Saccharomyces cerevisiae S288C: one gene and its partners. The gene in region 1 interacts genetically with each later gene. Each region holds a gene or a part of one and is shown in the gene's direction. Other genes may lie near its edges. The genes, in order: REX4, DBP3, SRP40 and RRP1.

Region 1 (3,101 bases):
TGGAATGAGAGGGTATAGTATTAGTTTGCATGTCTGAATCAAGAGACATTTCACCGCTCTCCATGGTTGACGAGTCGTTATTAGAATAACGTTCTTCGGAATATTCAGATCCTAAAAGGGACTTCCCATATGATGAGCCAGGAGTGATTCGGTCACGATTTTGTGCATTGAATTCATTGCTATTACTGCGGCTGTCTTTTGAATCCCTGTTCATGACCGCCGTTCCATCATTTGTAGATTCATGTCCTCCCAAATCAGATACTGTTTTGTTTATGTTTGAGGTCACTGTATCAAAATTCAAATCATCTAAATCTTTTTCATTGATATAAGATTCCATATCGGAAATATTGTTGCTTTCCGTTTCCGTCAAACCGTCCCTACTCACCGATCCGTTACCGCTGGCGCTGCTTCCATCTCCATGTATACCTTTATTGGCATTCAGTGAATCAGATTTTTGTCCATCATTTTTATTGTCAGTTAAAAAAATTTTCCCCTTTTGACTTGTGGGGAAATGAGATTTTAACCTTGAAGCACTTCCTATATTGCCATTTGAACTCTCTCGATCATCAAGAATGCTGATGCTGTTTCTGTTATTTGTGTAGGTGTTGTTTTTATTGTTGGACATGCCGTTGATGCCTTTGTGGGCTGGACTTGCTCCAGAACCCTTAGCATCAAAATCATCATCTAACTGAAAAAATTGAGAGTGTATATCGTCACCTTCTTCGTCATCGTCGTCGTCATCATCTTCTTCTTCTAAGTTTTCATCGAAATCGAAGTTCATATCGAATTTACTGCCTTTCTTATTATGGCGAGCACCAGGTGGATGCAAAGTAGATGATTTTGCTCTTGTATTAGTTGTATTCATGACATTTTTATTTCCAGAAGTATTTGAGTGGTCCCTTCGACTTTTGAATATCCTCACGAAAGGAAGCGACGATCTCTTACTAGATTTCTTCTGCATTTCCATCGAACTATTTAAATATGAGTCTTCCTTTGAGGAAGTTTTGTGATGTTTTCCACTGGTATGGTCGTCATCATTTAAAAGAGAGTTCGACGCAGATGAATTAAGTGGATTATAACGAAGTGTTCCATTTTCTTCAACTATCAGAGTATTTTTTGCACTTTTATCTTGCAAATTTCGTGTTTCTTCCTCGTCTCTTTCAGTCTTCTCTGCTCCTATTAAATTCTGGTTAGCCTTTCCTTTTTGGCCTTCATTCTCCCTCATTATCCTCATTTTCCCTAATGAAGCATAGTTTTCCATAAAATCCTTAGATACCGGTGGAGACTCTAGTTCAGGTAACAAGCTTACGCCGTCTGAGTTCATATATAATTCACGGATAGAAGAATCTAAGCACTGCTCTGTGTTGAATTCATCTACGGGTATGTACGGTTTTATTATTCTTTTCATTTGATCTTTCTCCGGACACACTCGTAGAAACTGAGCCCGCAGTTCATTTAATACCGTCACCGTGTCCATTATCGTCTTATTATGGTGTGGTGGGGGTTTTACAAACACTGTTTTATTTAGTTTTCCTGTTCAGTAGCCTGTATCTATTGAGAATTATTATACCGTATATTTTTTGACGCGGGCTGATATGTAAGGTCGGCTAAAAAAAAGAAAAATTTCAAAAGTTAAACTAACCTCATCGCAACCACAATCCATTTAAAGCCTGGTTCTAGAGGCTTCATAGACGTTTACAGATTTAATAAAGTAGATAGCGTACAGTTTTAATGGCTCTCTCTTCAAACTGGCAGGCACTATTAGCCTCCGAAAGCAATCCTACCTCCAATGGAAAGAATAAGCAATCAAATAGGAAAATCAGAAACGTTAAGAAAGTTAGCAAAACAGTAAATGTCAGTAGTACAACCCAATATGCCCCTCGAAAGCGCAAAAACGGCAGTAAAATTATGGACATGGTATATAACATGAACAAGGAGATTAGTAAGCATGAGAAAGACAAGCTCGAGGGAAAAGTGTTTGAATTCAACCCAAATAAAGCAAATACTAGTACTACTATTAAAGAGCCAGTAAAAGTGGGTATTTCGGAAGATACTCGTATTAATAGTAATAAGAGTAAAGAAATTGGGAAATACATCGCCATGGATTGTGAATTTGTAGGCGTTGGTCCCGAGGGTAAAGAGTCTGCGTTAGCTAGAATATCAATCGTAAATTATTTTGGACATGTCGTCCTCGATGAATTTGTTAAGCCAAGAGAGAAAGTTGTAGAATGGAGAACTTGGGTTAGTGGTATTAAACCAGAGCATATGAAAAATGCCATTACATTCAAAGAAGCTCAAAAAAAGACTGCGGATATTCTGGAAGGTAGAATTCTTGTAGGGCACGCTTTAAAGCATGATCTCGAAGCATTGATGTTATCCCACCCAAAGTCACTACTCAGGGACACTTCAAGACACCTCCCATTCAGGAAGTTGTATGCTAAGGGTAAAACACCCAGCTTAAAGAAATTAACCAGGGAGGTTTTAAAAATTTCCATTCAAGAAGGTGAGCATTCTTCAGTCGAAGATGCTCGTGCCACCATGCTATTATATAAAAAGGAAAAAACGGAATTTGAAAAAATTCACAGAAACACTTTCAACTAAGACGGTAGATGAATGGCCCCTTTTATTCTTACAATTAAAATGCATTGGTATGTACATTAGTCTATGTGGCGCTTGAATTTACTGAGCCATTCATTACACGATAGAATATATAAAAATTGTAGCTGTATAAAAGCAACCCACGTAACAAATTGCGAAAAATTAGCGATAAGAAAACCCTAACATGAGATATGTACATTCATGCTTACAGATAGATATTGATATTTCTTTCATTAGTTTATGTAACACCTCTAAGCAGAACATGACATCCTTGATAAAATCATTGTCATTATTCTCTTACGTTCATAGATATCTTCAGGTTTTACATCTAAAGGTATCATCATGTCGGAGTTCTTCGCAAATATACCAGAAGAAGTCACAATCGATAAACCTCTTTTGGTTAGACGTTCAATGGATTCTTCGTGAAGTTTTTCTAACGAATTAGACTCTGAATGCGTCACTAATAAGTTTAAAATATCGAAAGCAAGTGGAACACAATCCGA
Region 2 (5,407 bases), on another chromosome or scaffold:
TTGATTCACGAAATCATCACTGTTGGTCCACACTTCAAGCAAGCTAACAACTTTTTGTGGCCATTCAAGTTGTCCAACCCATCTGGTGGTTGGGGTGTCCCAAGAAAGTTCAAGCACTTTATCCAAGGTGGTTCTTTCGGTAACCGTGAAGAATTCATCAACAAATTGGTTAAGTCCATGAACTAAACTGGTTGAAGTCACATTACATATAACTACTTATTTTATCTAAGTCCTATATAGTTCTGTTATTCACTAGTTTGTATATTGTACCTCTAATTTATCTTATAATTTCGTCAGTAATGACTTATAATTGGCTTTATTTTCTTCTCTTTTTTTTCACATGCGCAGAACCTATATAACGAAAAAAAAAAAAATGAAAACTGAAGATAAGCGGCCTTGACTTCTCTAAACTGCCGATATTTCAACGAAAGTTAGCCAACTTATTTATAAAAGCCTTGAATACCAACAATTGGAAAGAAGGTGTCTGTGCTTATCATATATAGCTTGCATAAAGAAAAATTATAATATCTTCGAACTTCCATAGAAAGAATATCTTTCAGTGTTAACTGGCTCATTTACTCAGAAATTAGTATTTTGAAGAACGATGAGTATTCGGAATGATAATGCTTCCGGTGGCTATATGCAGCCGGATCAATCTTCGAACGCTTCTATGCACAAAAGAGACTTAAGAGTTGAGGAGGAAATAAAGCCATTGGATGATATGGATAGCAAGGGTGCTGTAGCAGCAGATGGTGAAGTTCATCTAAGAAAGTCATTTTCGTTGTGGTCAATTCTTGGTGTTGGATTCGGTTTGACTAATTCCTGGTTCGGTATTTCTACATCGATGGTTGCAGGTATATCTTCTGGTGGACCCATGATGATTGTTTACGGTATAATTATTGTTGCCCTGATTTCTATTTGCATTGGTACCTCGTTGGGTGAATTATCTTCCGCATATCCGCACGCCGGTGGTCAGTTTTGGTGGTCTTTGAAGCTTGCCCCTCCTAAGTACAAAAGATTTGCGGCCTACATGTGCGGTTCATTTGCTTACGCAGGATCCGTGTTCACAAGTGCTTCAACTACGTTATCCGTTGCTACCGAAGTGGTTGGTATGTACGCTCTGACGCACCCTGAATTCATCCCAAAGAGATGGCATATATTCGTTTGCTTTGAATTGTTGCATTTGTTCTTGATGTTTTTCAACTGTTACGGTAAATCCTTACCTATCATTTCATCTTCCTCTCTATACATTTCCCTACTATCCTTTTTCACAATTACAATTACTGTATTGGCATGTTCTCATGGAAAGTTCAACGATGCAAAGTTTGTTTTTGCCACATTTAATAATGAAACAGGTTGGAAGAACGGCGGTATCGCCTTTATTGTCGGTTTGATTAACCCAGCTTGGTCATTTTCGTGCCTTGACTGTGCAACCCATATGGCGTTTGAAGTTGAAAAACCAGAAAGAGTTATTCCCATTGCTATCATGGGAACAGTCGCCATTGGGTTTGTCACTTCCTTTTGTTATGTTATCGCTATGTTCTTCTCTATACAAGATCTGGACGCTGTCTTGTCTTCTACAACAGGCGCCCCAATCTTGGACATTTATAATCAGGCATTGGGTAATAAATCAGGTGCGATTTTCCTGGGTTGCTTGATTCTATTTACCTCTTTTGGTTGCGTCATTGCTTGTCACACTTGGCAGGCAAGGTTATGTTGGTCATTTGCCAGGGACAATGGTCTTCCATTATCCCGTTTATGGTCGCAAGTTAACCCACACACTGGTGTACCTTTGAACGCTCATTTAATGTCATGCGCTTGGATAACCCTCATTGGCCTACTTTATTTGGCTTCCAGTACGGCTTTTCAGTCCTTAATTACAGGTTGTATTGCATTTTTATTGTTATCCTACATCATTCCGGTTATATGTTTACTTGCTAAAAAGCGTAACATAGCTCATGGTCCATTCTGGCTTGGAAAATTTGGATTTTTTTCAAACATTGTTCTTTTGGGTTGGACTGTCTTTTCTGTGGTCTTTTTTTCCTTTCCACCAGTTTTACCTGTGACAAAGGATAACATGAACTATGTTTGTGTAGTTATTGTTGGTTATACTGCGTATTCGATTCTTTACTGGAAATACAAGGGTAAGAAGGAATTCCACGCTTTAGAAGAATCTGAGAACGAACAGGCTGAATATAGTAATAACTTCGATACCATTGAAGATAGTCGAGAATTTTCCGTTGCGGCCTCTGACGTTGAACTCGAAAATGAACACGTACCGTGGGGAAAGAAGTGAATTTATAGTGTTGATCAGTCGACCGTTATTTATTTTAAGTATATTATTTGCATAGAAGTAATAAAAGTGAATTTTTTTTAATGGTTTGTTAAGCCATTTTAGACGAGGGACTAAGATATTTCAACCTAAATATCCCTCAGGCTTTGCGCTCTTGAAAGCGATGTGACTGTAATTCAAATTTCTTGAAATATTTTTGCGGGAAAAAGATGAAAAATTTTTCACCTCATCGCATAAGAAGCAAATAAAAAAAAAATATTAATAATAGATAGGCAACAATATAGCAGCTCAGAGATATAGCTTAACTTCATTTTACAGCCTTTTAACGAAAGCATAAGTATTAACAGTTTGATATATAGGGGATTAAAATGACAAAGGAAGAAATCGCAGACAAGAAGAGAAAGGTTGTAGATGAGGAGGTAATTGAAAAAAAGAAGAGTAAGAAACACAAAAAGGATAAGAAAGACAAGAAGGAAAAGAAGGATAAAAAGCATAAAAAGCATAAGAAGGAGAAGAAGGGTGAGAAGGAAGTGGAAGTACCAGAGAAAGAATCTGAAAAGAAACCTGAACCTACTTCTGCAGTGGCTAGTGAGTTTTATGTTCAGAGTGAAGCACTAACCAGTCTTCCACAATCTGATATTGACGAATATTTCAAGGAAAATGAAATTGCTGTTGAGGATTCTCTGGATCTAGCCCTACGTCCGCTATTATCATTTGATTATCTTTCTTTAGACTCTTCCATTCAAGCAGAAATTTCCAAATTTCCAAAACCAACGCCTATTCAAGCCGTAGCCTGGCCATATTTGTTATCTGGTAAAGATGTTGTTGGTGTTGCTGAGACCGGTTCTGGTAAAACATTTGCTTTCGGTGTTCCAGCTATCAGCCATTTAATGAACGATCAAAAGAAAAGGGGCATACAGGTTCTAGTCATTTCCCCAACTAGAGAACTTGCTTCCCAAATTTATGATAATCTGATTGTATTAACTGACAAGGTTGGTATGCAGTGTTGTTGTGTTTATGGTGGTGTTCCAAAGGATGAGCAAAGAATTCAGTTAAAAAAGTCACAAGTGGTGGTTGCTACACCTGGTAGATTATTAGACCTATTGCAGGAAGGATCTGTTGACTTATCTCAAGTTAATTACTTAGTATTAGACGAGGCAGACAGAATGTTGGAAAAAGGTTTTGAAGAAGACATCAAGAATATTATCAGAGAAACTGATGCGTCCAAAAGACAAACTCTAATGTTTACCGCTACCTGGCCAAAGGAAGTCCGTGAATTAGCTTCCACGTTCATGAACAACCCAATCAAAGTATCTATTGGTAACACGGACCAACTAACTGCTAACAAAAGAATTACACAGATTGTTGAAGTGGTGGACCCACGTGGAAAAGAAAGAAAGTTATTGGAACTGTTGAAAAAGTACCACTCTGGTCCAAAAAAGAATGAAAAGGTCTTGATTTTTGCTCTTTATAAGAAGGAAGCTGCTCGTGTTGAAAGGAATTTGAAATATAACGGGTATAACGTCGCAGCTATCCATGGTGATTTGTCCCAGCAACAAAGAACGCAAGCATTGAATGAGTTCAAAAGCGGGAAGTCTAACTTGTTACTGGCCACCGACGTTGCAGCAAGAGGTTTAGATATACCAAATGTTAAGACAGTTATTAATTTAACTTTCCCATTGACTGTGGAGGATTATGTCCATAGAATCGGTAGAACTGGTAGAGCTGGTCAAACAGGCACAGCACACACTCTGTTCACTGAACAAGAAAAGCATTTGGCTGGTGGACTGGTTAACGTTTTGAATGGTGCCAATCAACCTGTTCCTGAAGATTTGATAAAGTTCGGTACTCACACTAAGAAGAAGGAACATAGCGCTTATGGTTCATTCTTTAAGGACGTCGATTTGACTAAGAAACCAAAAAAAATTACTTTCGATTAGGGGTTTTTTCGTTTACTTCAATCTTGGATTTTCTTCTCTAATAATAGCCAATCGAGAGTCGGAGATTTATTAACAAAACACTGTATATTACTATTATAACTGCCCACTTTCATTTATCATTAATATTATTTAAATTGACTCTCACATAGTATACATATTTTCTAGAAAAAAAATACGATTCAGTATATCAGCAGTCATGGTCTTCATTCAATCTGCGCTCAAGAATTTTTTCTCTTGCCTGATTAAACTCTATGGGGAAATCGACACGCAAAGCAGCGTTTAAATAGTCGATGTTCTTTCTTGAAGTTTCTAAATCACGTTTTATTTTTTTTGAAGTAGCCTCACCATTTTCAAACTTCTCTTGCAGTTGAGTGAGCCTGCTCTTCATTTCATCAATATATTGTTTAAGCTCTAGGCTTTTCGAATTTATAACAGCGGAGGTTTTGGTCTGTAGAGAAAGTGCCTCTGAGAAATCAGCAGAATCAATAGATTGTTTTAGAGAATCAAAAATATATCTAGAAACGTCAAATATTGGACCAGGATCCTGGGCATCCGTGGGTAGCAAATTGCTTGACTGAGGGATATCGTTATCTAGGAACAAATCTTCGTCAACGTTAGATTCATTGTCCATTTCATTTTGCTCCACAACATCTGAAACGTTACTTCCATCACTATCGAAGCTACCACTTGAGTTGCTAGTGGTGCTGATCGAATCATGGAAAGAGCTGGACATTTCCTCTGTTATAGGAATCGCGTAGGATTGAGAATTAATACTGGGTGTTGAAGAATGAACAGCCGAAAAAGTCTCTTCATCATCATTTTCCTCCGATATTCCGGTCACCATTGTTCTTCACTAAGTGTTGGTAACCATTATTTTGCCTCTCTTATTATTTTACTATAATATAGCTGCGACTTTTCAGTGAAAAACGTTCTTTTTTAACTTTTTGAATGGCTGAATATAATCAGTAATACAAAGGAGATGAGAGGGAAATTGTCTTGGATATAAAAGAAATATTTGAATAAAGACATAATAATTATTTAGGTTATTTAGAATATGTCATCTTATGTAGTTTGGTTCAATACTAACTACTAAATAAAATGAAACTCATAGAGATAATGGTTCTATAGCATGCATATATGAAAAGGAGAAGAGGTAAAAATGAGAGAATATGCA
Region 3 (5,289 bases), on another chromosome or scaffold:
CATTATAAGAGTTTATTAGTGATCTAATTCAAAAGAAGAAAAAAAAAAATAATTGATAATATTTTATATTGTTTGCAGTGGAGCAGCACTGTGGTATACCTTCTTTTTCAAGTAAGCAAGTAAAAATAAAGTAGGAATAATGCGTAATAAGCCAACCCTAAAATAGACACAAACGGAAAGGATATAGAAGATATGTACATCACTTATATATTTTACAAACCTAAAAATTGTACAGAACAATAAAATGAAATGTAGAATGATATGAGTTGTGGTGATTGGAGAGAGTAAAAGAAAGGATGATAGATGCAAGAAGTAAGGCCAATCAAAGAGCAAGTCACTCTACACAGCTATCATATGAGGGGAGTGATCGCCGTACAGATAAGAAACCCAACTTTTTTCAAGACGCCACCGCTTGTGTAATCGCCATTATATCGAGGAAAGCCCTGCGAACGTGAAGTGAAAAGGACGGTTGTCCTTTTTCCTGTTCTTCGAGGATCCTGAACAGGATGTCAGTAGGGCGGGCCTTTTCTTTTTATTGTGCAGGTACGCATGTTTCTTTGACACAAAATAGTCTGGATTCGCCAGCCAGTGGCACTTTTGATGCCATTTCCACCACAGAAAACGTCTGAGTATTCAGCCATGGGAGGGGAGTGTTGAAAGGGGAGAAGCAGCCCACTTCTCTGTCTTGACACAAACCGCAGATTGCGTCACGGTTCTGCGGACGCCGTTAGCCCATTGGTGTCAAGTTATTGCGGGATTTTTTGGTGCCGTACGCCGGAGCCGACGGAGGTAAGTCAGTTCGCCGCTGCCTTCGGCGCCGTTATCTTATCTCGCCAGAAAACTCTTAGCTTTTCCGGGAAAAAAAATGAACAATACTGATTGCGTTACCCCAAGCTTATCCCACGTAGTTTTGTGTCTCTTTCTTGGGCTCTTGGCGGCCGTACGCATATAGTATACTAATGCGGTAACGGCTACCTCCTACGTCTGTATCAAAAAAGTTCGCTCTGGTCCTATCAATATTTTCTCCCACACGAGGATTCTGTGGTTTTGCAGCCACATCTACAGGATGTTGACTTTTTGTTTGTTTACGTAGTTTGTTTCAACGCTTTCGAAGATGTGGCGCTGGTGCAAGTCATCTAAGTTGGTTACTGATAACAAATTGTGACAAGGATGTAGTGGATGCGTAGGAGACCAAAATGACATCTGACACAAAAAAAAGTAGATAACGAAAACAGGACAAAGGTGTCATTTTGTTTTGCCAAGGAGAATTATAATCTTAGTGTGAAGATACTTTCATTAGACACATAAATTTACGTTCGACACACTTTTTTCTTACTCCTCCCCTTATCAAGGATACCTGGTTGATTCTACGTCGTCCTCTTCACTTTGGTTAATTCACCTTTGCCCTTCACCTTGTGGTGTGCGGGTGTTGCAGTCATTAATGTTCTTTATCGCGAGAGGGGGTCTACATAATCTTGTTTTTTCACTCCAATAAGGCAGTTATAGTGAATTTGTTTTATTACAGAAGGTGTACCCTTCGTTCGAGTTATTTTACTCTTGTTTTGTAGTTTGTACATCTCTTTATGTCTGGATCAAAACGATAATTCGAAGCTTATTGCAATTTAGTTCTCTTACCCATTTCTTTACAACGGGCCGAGAAAAAGTGGAGTTGGTCCGAGGAAGCTTTGAACGGGAAGAGGAAAAAACCTTCCCATCGCTCGAGCATACAATTTTTTTTTTTTCAATGCAGGCTGAAAAAAAAAAATTCACTTGATGATTGAACTCATCGCACTTTTATACAAAGCAAGAAAGAAACCCAAGTCGCAGTACACTAAGAATACATAGCAATGGCTTCCAAGAAAATTAAAGTTGACGAAGTGCCAAAATTAAGTGTTAAGGAGAAGGAGATTGAAGAGAAATCTTCTTCTTCTTCTTCCTCCTCCTCCTCCTCCTCCTCCTCCTCTTCTTCTTCATCTTCCTCGTCCAGTTCTAGCGGCGAATCTTCAAGCAGCAGCAGCAGCAGCAGCAGCAGCAGCAGCAGTGACAGCAGTGACAGCAGTGACTCTGAATCTAGCTCATCATCATCTTCTTCTTCTAGCTCAAGCTCAAGTTCCAGTGACTCTGAATCTTCTAGTGAATCCGACTCTAGCTCCAGTGGATCTTCTTCTTCCTCTAGCTCTAGTTCTGACGAATCTTCTTCGGAATCCGAATCAGAAGATGAAACCAAGAAAAGAGCAAGAGAATCAGACAACGAAGATGCTAAGGAGACTAAAAAGGCTAAAACTGAACCAGAAAGCTCTTCCTCATCGGAGTCAAGCTCTAGCGGGTCATCGTCATCTTCAGAATCAGAATCAGGTTCGGAATCTGATTCTGACTCAAGTTCTAGCTCAAGTAGTTCTTCTGATTCCGAATCAGATTCTGAATCAGATTCTCAATCAAGTTCTAGCTCCAGCTCTAGCGACTCTTCGTCTGACTCCGACTCCAGCTCCAGCGACTCTTCATCTGACTCCGACTCTAGCTCCAGCTCTAGCAGCTCTTCCTCGGATTCAGATTCGGATTCCGACTCAAGCTCGGACTCAGACTCTTCAGGCTCGTCCGATTCTTCAAGCTCGTCTGATTCAAGTTCCGACGAATCTACATCTTCTGATTCCTCCGATTCGGATTCCGACTCAGACTCTGGTTCTAGCTCTGAATTGGAAACAAAAGAAGCAACTGCAGACGAATCCAAGGCCGAAGAAACGCCTGCCTCATCTAACGAATCAACTCCATCTGCTTCCAGTTCATCAAGCGCCAATAAATTGAACATTCCTGCTGGAACCGACGAGATCAAAGAGGGCCAAAGAAAGCATTTTTCCAGAGTAGATAGATCGAAGATTAATTTCGAAGCTTGGGAGTTGACAGACAACACCTACAAAGGCGCGGCTGGAACATGGGGTGAAAAGGCAAATGAAAAATTAGGTAGAGTAAGAGGTAAAGATTTCACGAAGAACAAAAATAAAATGAAGAGAGGTTCTTACAGAGGTGGATCCATTACATTAGAAAGTGGTTCATACAAATTCCAAGATTAAAAGAATAGGAAACATAAAACAAAACTCGTTGTCTGGAGTAATCTCCTTTTAAGTTGTAGAGTAAACAAATTGTAATTATAGCAACGATAGAAAAATAATAGTAATAAAGACAATAATAATAGTAACAAAAATGGTAACAGTAATATTTTGTATTGTTTTCCTTTGAAAAAAGAAAAAATAAATAACCTGGTATATAGGTAATCGCGTCACTAAATAATTAAGCATTCAATAAAAGTTTTTTTTAATTATTTTTTTTTTTATGTTTTTGGCTCCTAGAGGTGAATATTTTCTTTTTCTTTCTTCGCAGCTATATACTAAATATTAGTGATATAAACAGCAAGAACTATAAACCTAAAAGTAGCCAAAGCCATGTATATATGCGAAACCCGAATCATTAGTTCAGTCCGATGAGGACATCTTCAATAATGTATCGATAGCAACAACTTCTTGTAAAGAATTCTCCTGTGTACTTTGCGTTCTTCTATGAGATGACCAACGTAACGGCGAAACGTTAACGTTGTCTACCCTATTGCTTTTGGCATGTTTGGACGAAATTGCCTTCAAGAACGCTGCATGAGCGGATGAATCTTCCAGAGAACTCAGAAACTTTTTGGATTCATCTAACGAGTGACAGCGCCTATGCTTAGCGGCAAATTTATTACTATAAGAGCCCTTTCGTATCTTTTCCGTCGGAGGTGGAGGAATCAAAGCTACTTGCTCATGTTCCTTTGATAGCTTAACCATTGCGCAGTTGAGTCTTGATTTTAGCGTGCGTGAAAACTCCCGTACGGAATCGTCATTCTCTTCCTCGATAACCGCTGTGGGAGAAACCAATGGGGGCGTGGGGGATGGAAACATTTCTGCATTCTTAGACCTGGGTGTTGTAGGTGTTATTGGTCCTGGAAAATGAAATTGTACGTTGTATTGATATGTGGGATCCTCATTGCCATCGGGCGAAGGGGCAGATGTAGGAGAATCTTGCGCTTCACTTATTGAAGTTTTGAAATATTTCCTTGCCGGCGTCGCCAGAAGGCTGTTAGATTCAGTATCCAGGTTGGGAGAGATCAATTCGTTTATCGTTAAGACTCTCGATTTGGGAGTCTCATTTACCGTTTCCCAATTAGGTGTCTTAAGAAACATTATATTCGTCTATTATTTATCCGTTTGTGCTCAGGTTCTTCTTCCATCCTCTTGAAAATACAATAAAATAACGAAACATTTCATTGCTTAGCCTTTCCTTAAATAAATTTCCTTATTCTCTATTCTTAGGCTCCTGTTCCCTTTTTAGCTTTTAGCCTTTAATGCACCGGTACGAGAATGTCCAAAAATAGAAATTCGCTACAATTAAATGACGCGTAAAAAAACAGTTAGAGGTAGTTGTTGAGAAGAAGACAACGTAGTGAATATGAGTGAATGATGTCTTTATAACTAACTAACTAATGACGACTAATGTTGTTGATACCATAGATAGGCAGATGCCTTTTTCCTGCGCTATACAATTTATAAATGAACAAGGCTGGCTAATAATATAAAAAATCAAAATCTTATTAAGAATGTTATGAAACATGTGTGCTAGGAAAGACAAATGGGTAGTGATGCTAGTTGAAGTTGATGAGCCTCGTTCTCCTTTTAGAGAGAGTATTGTTCTTATCATTGCTTGATGTAGCATTGTCGATACCTTCCTTCAAGAGAGCTTCCATGTCGTGATTACCGCACAATGGAATTTCCCCATTGAATATATAATAATCATTAGTAATGGCAGTCTTGCATAAGAAACAGTTTAGACAATCCACGTGGAATCGTTCCACCTTATCATTTTCCAGACATTCACCCTCTATGAAATTTGAACAAACCTTACAAATACTGTGATTCTCCTCGTGATAGTGCTTTTGACAATATGGTTCATCGCCTAGAATATAACAGGGAACATGTTTATTGAATTTGATACCACATTCAATGCATTTAAAACATTCACGATGCCATTGACCCGACAGTTCGTTTTCCTTTTTGGAAAACATTCTTTTCCCTGTGACTTCCAAGCCGCATGCTCTGCAAGGTCCCTCCCCAGGCGGATATTTAAACTCAATGGGCTCCGTTTCTTTATAATCTGCATCAGAGCTGTATCTCGTAGTGCCGCCGTTAGGTAATACATGAGAGTCATTAGATTTGGAATTATCAATTTCTTCTCTCAGATCTGTTATGTTGCGCTTATGCTGCAGTT
Region 4 (2,995 bases), on another chromosome or scaffold:
TTTATACATTTTTCTAGACTTTTGATTTTTATACCTAGTGACAATTAAAATATAGAAAAGAGTTGGTAACCTCAGCTGCCGTACTCTTCAATTTAATTGGAGAAGTTGTCGAGTTTTTTTAAAGTACATTTCATTGGAACAACTAGTGACTAGTTCGAACGCGGAAAGACAATAATAGTACCCATAACGATAACTCCTTCGTTATCTATTGAATAGCTTGCCTTTCAAGTAAATCAATAATCAAGTCTGCGTATATCATTTATCGAGCACTTCTGAAAAAGATACCAGTTACACTGAAATACAACGATCGGATTACATAATGAATAATAACAGCAGAAACAACGAAAATCGAAGCACTATTAACAGAAATAAAAGGCAACTACAACAAGCAAAAGAAAAAAATGAAAATATTCATATCCCCAGGTATATTAGAAATCAACCATGGTACTATAAGGATACCCCCAAAGAACAAGAAGGGAAGAAGCCCGGCAATGATGATACGAGCACTGCAGAAGGAGGAGAAAAAAGCGACTACTTGGTGCATCATAGGCAAAAAGCAAAAGGGGGTGCTTTAGATATTGACAATAATTCAGAACCAAAAATTGGTATGGGTATAAAGGATGAGTTCAAACTAATCAGACCCCAGAAGATGTCCGTCCGAGATTCTCATTCGCTGTCATTTTGTAGGAATTGTGGGGAAGCAGGGCATAAGGAGAAAGACTGCATGGAAAAACCTCGTAAGATGCAGAAGCTTGTTCCCGATTTAAATTCACAAAAAAATAATGGCACAGTTTTAGTACGAGCTACTGATGATGACTGGGACTCCAGAAAAGATAGATGGTACGGTTACTCAGGGAAAGAATACAATGAACTGATAAGTAAGTGGGAGCGTGATAAAAGAAATAAAATAAAAGGAAAAGACAAATCCCAAACTGATGAAACACTATGGGATACAGATGAAGAGATAGAACTAATGAAGTTAGAACTTTACAAGGATTCCGTAGGTTCATTGAAGAAAGATGATGCTGATAATTCTCAGTTGTATAGGACATCAACGAGATTGAGAGAAGATAAGGCTGCTTACTTGAACGACATAAATTCAACGGAGAGTAATTATGATCCTAAATCAAGATTGTACAAAACTGAAACACTGGGCGCAGTTGATGAAAAATCAAAAATGTTCCGCAGACATTTGACAGGTGAAGGCCTAAAATTAAACGAATTGAACCAGTTTGCTAGATCTCACGCTAAGGAAATGGGTATACGTGATGAAATTGAGGATAAGGAAAAAGTACAACATGTTTTAGTCGCCAATCCTACTAAATATGAATATCTGAAGAAAAAACGGGAACAAGAAGAAACCAAGCAGCCCAAGATTGTCAGCATTGGAGATCTGGAAGCTAGGAAAGTAGATGGTACAAAGCAATCTGAGGAACAACGGAACCACTTAAAAGATTTATATGGTTAAGTTATATCATTTGAATTTCCAATATCCTAGTCACGGAGCACGAGAGGTAAAGAATTTAGAAAAAAAAATGCGATGAGCTGAAAAAAATTGTCAAATATAAACTACATTCTTAAGTATACGTATATATCTTGCGCATTCACGGCATAATACACTAAATAGACACTTAAAAAATCGAGTGAGAACATTCACAATGGAGACCTCCAACTTTGTTAAACAATTATCGTCGAACAACAGAAAAACCAGGGTAAATGCACTCGAAGCGTTAAAGAAATATCTAACCGCTAAACAGTTCAAGGAGAACAAACAAATAGAATTCAATAAACTTTGGAAGGGTCTTTACTATGCAATGTGGTTCAGTGACCGTCCTAGACCTCAGCAACGTTTAGCCAATGAATTAGGTGAATTGCATGGATTATATTTTGATCCTAAGGACAATAGCACTGCAGATGAGTTGACCACAAACGATAAAGCATTTATAAAGTTTAGCAGAGGGTTTTGGAAGGTCATGTGCTTTGAATGGTTTAACATTGACAGATATAGGTTGGATAAGTATCTTCTATTGATAAGAAGGGTATTATTCAGTCAATTGAAGTATTTGCAGTCCAGAAACTGGGACAAAAAATTAGTCGACGAGTATATTAAGAAAGTGTTGAGGTGGTTACCTCTGAGTGGAAGTCCAAAGGTCTACACAGGGATTCCAATTCATATCGTCGATATTCTGCTGGACGAATGGGAAAGATTGCTTAAAGATGGAGATGAAGACGATGAAGACGAGGAAAACAAAGAGGAAGAGATGCGCAAAATTGCAGAGAGCGCAAAAAAAACGCCACTAGCCGATGTTATCGCAATTTTCCAAGATATCGTGGCAGATTACAATAACAGTAAGGTGTTGAGAGAGAAGATCAAAGAAGACCTATTCAGTGACACCAGACTTGTTTCCTGGGATATTCTTGAAGGCGAAACGCAACATAATGATTCCAGTAACGAATCTGAAGAAGAGGAAGAGGAAGAGTGGAAGGGATTTTGATTCTTCCTGGCGGTAGTATGTAAGTAATCGTAAGTCGCTCATATAAATTGTAGTTGTATATCTATAGTACGAAAAATTCATTACCCTCTGTGGATATTGGCGGAATGCGAAACACGTCGCCTTTTTTTCCTCGCAACATTTTTTTTATTTTTTTTTCGTTTTGAAATGAAAGAATACTAGTGATTAAATTAAACAAGGAAAATAGTACAGATTGGCGTGTATTGTCCATAACTCGTGTCCATTGTCCGCACTACGCTAGTTTACCAAAGATAAAATCACGTATAACATTGAAAAATAAAATGGCTAGAGCTAGTGAAAAAGGTGAAGAGAAAAAGCAGAGCAACAACCAGGTTGAAAAGCTGGTTGAAGCACCTGTAGAATTTGTCAGAGAAGGTACTCAATTCTTGGCCAAGTGTAAGAAACCTGATTTGAAGGAATACACCAAGATTGTCAAGGCTGTTGGTATTGGTTTTATTGCAGTCGGTATCATTGGTTACGCC

What was found.
Region 2: mutations in REX4 (region 1) and DBP3 together harm fitness more than expected from each alone (negative genetic interaction), as found in Saccharomyces cerevisiae (3 studies listed by BioGRID).
Region 3: mutations in REX4 (region 1) and SRP40 together harm fitness more than expected from each alone (negative genetic interaction), as found in Saccharomyces cerevisiae (2 studies listed by BioGRID).
Region 4: mutations in REX4 (region 1) and RRP1 together harm fitness more than expected from each alone (negative genetic interaction), as found in Saccharomyces cerevisiae (2 studies listed by BioGRID).

What each region holds. Positions count from the first base shown.
Region 1 is NC_001147.6:180,058-183,158, reverse strand, and holds REX4 (putative 3'-5' exonuclease), read left to right. Parts: upstream 1-1,731; coding exon 1,732-2,601; downstream 2,602-3,101. Other genes in the region: AVO1 (Avo1p), read right to left, coding at 1-1,477; Ras GTPase activating protein IRA2, read right to left, coding at 2,850-3,101. UniProt on the Saccharomyces cerevisiae protein: Exoribonuclease involved in ribosome biosynthesis. Involved in the processing of ITS1, the internal transcribed spacer localized between the 18S and 5.8S rRNAs.
Region 2 is NC_001139.9:359,114-364,520, reverse strand, and holds DBP3 (RNA-dependent ATPase DBP3), read left to right. Parts: upstream 1-2,661; coding exon 2,662-4,233; downstream 4,234-5,407. Other genes in the region: 60S ribosomal protein uL30 RPL7A, read left to right, coding at 1-186; HNM1 (Hnm1p), read left to right, coding at 605-2,296; KXD1 (Kxd1p), read right to left, coding at 4,421-5,077. UniProt on the Saccharomyces cerevisiae protein: ATP-dependent RNA helicase required for 60S ribosomal subunit synthesis. Involved in efficient pre-rRNA processing, predominantly at site A3, which is necessary for the normal formation of 25S and 5.8S rRNAs.
Region 3 is NC_001143.9:610,444-615,732, reverse strand, and holds SRP40 (Srp40p), read left to right. Parts: upstream 1-1,847; coding exon 1,848-3,068; downstream 3,069-5,289. Other genes in the region: PTR2 (Ptr2p), read right to left, coding at 1-3; DNA-binding protein SRL3, read right to left, coding at 3,468-4,208; PXL1 (Pxl1p), read right to left, coding at 4,667-5,289. UniProt on the Saccharomyces cerevisiae protein: Not known; weak suppressor of a mutant of the subunit AC40 of DNA dependent RNA polymerase I and III.
Region 4 is NC_001136.10:616,970-619,964, reverse strand, and holds RRP1 (Rrp1p), read left to right. Parts: upstream 1-1,658; coding exon 1,659-2,495; downstream 2,496-2,995. Other genes in the region: mRNA splicing protein SLU7, read left to right, coding at 320-1,468; translocon subunit SSS1, read left to right, coding at 2,795-2,995. UniProt on the Saccharomyces cerevisiae protein: Required for 27S rRNA processing to 25S and 5.8S.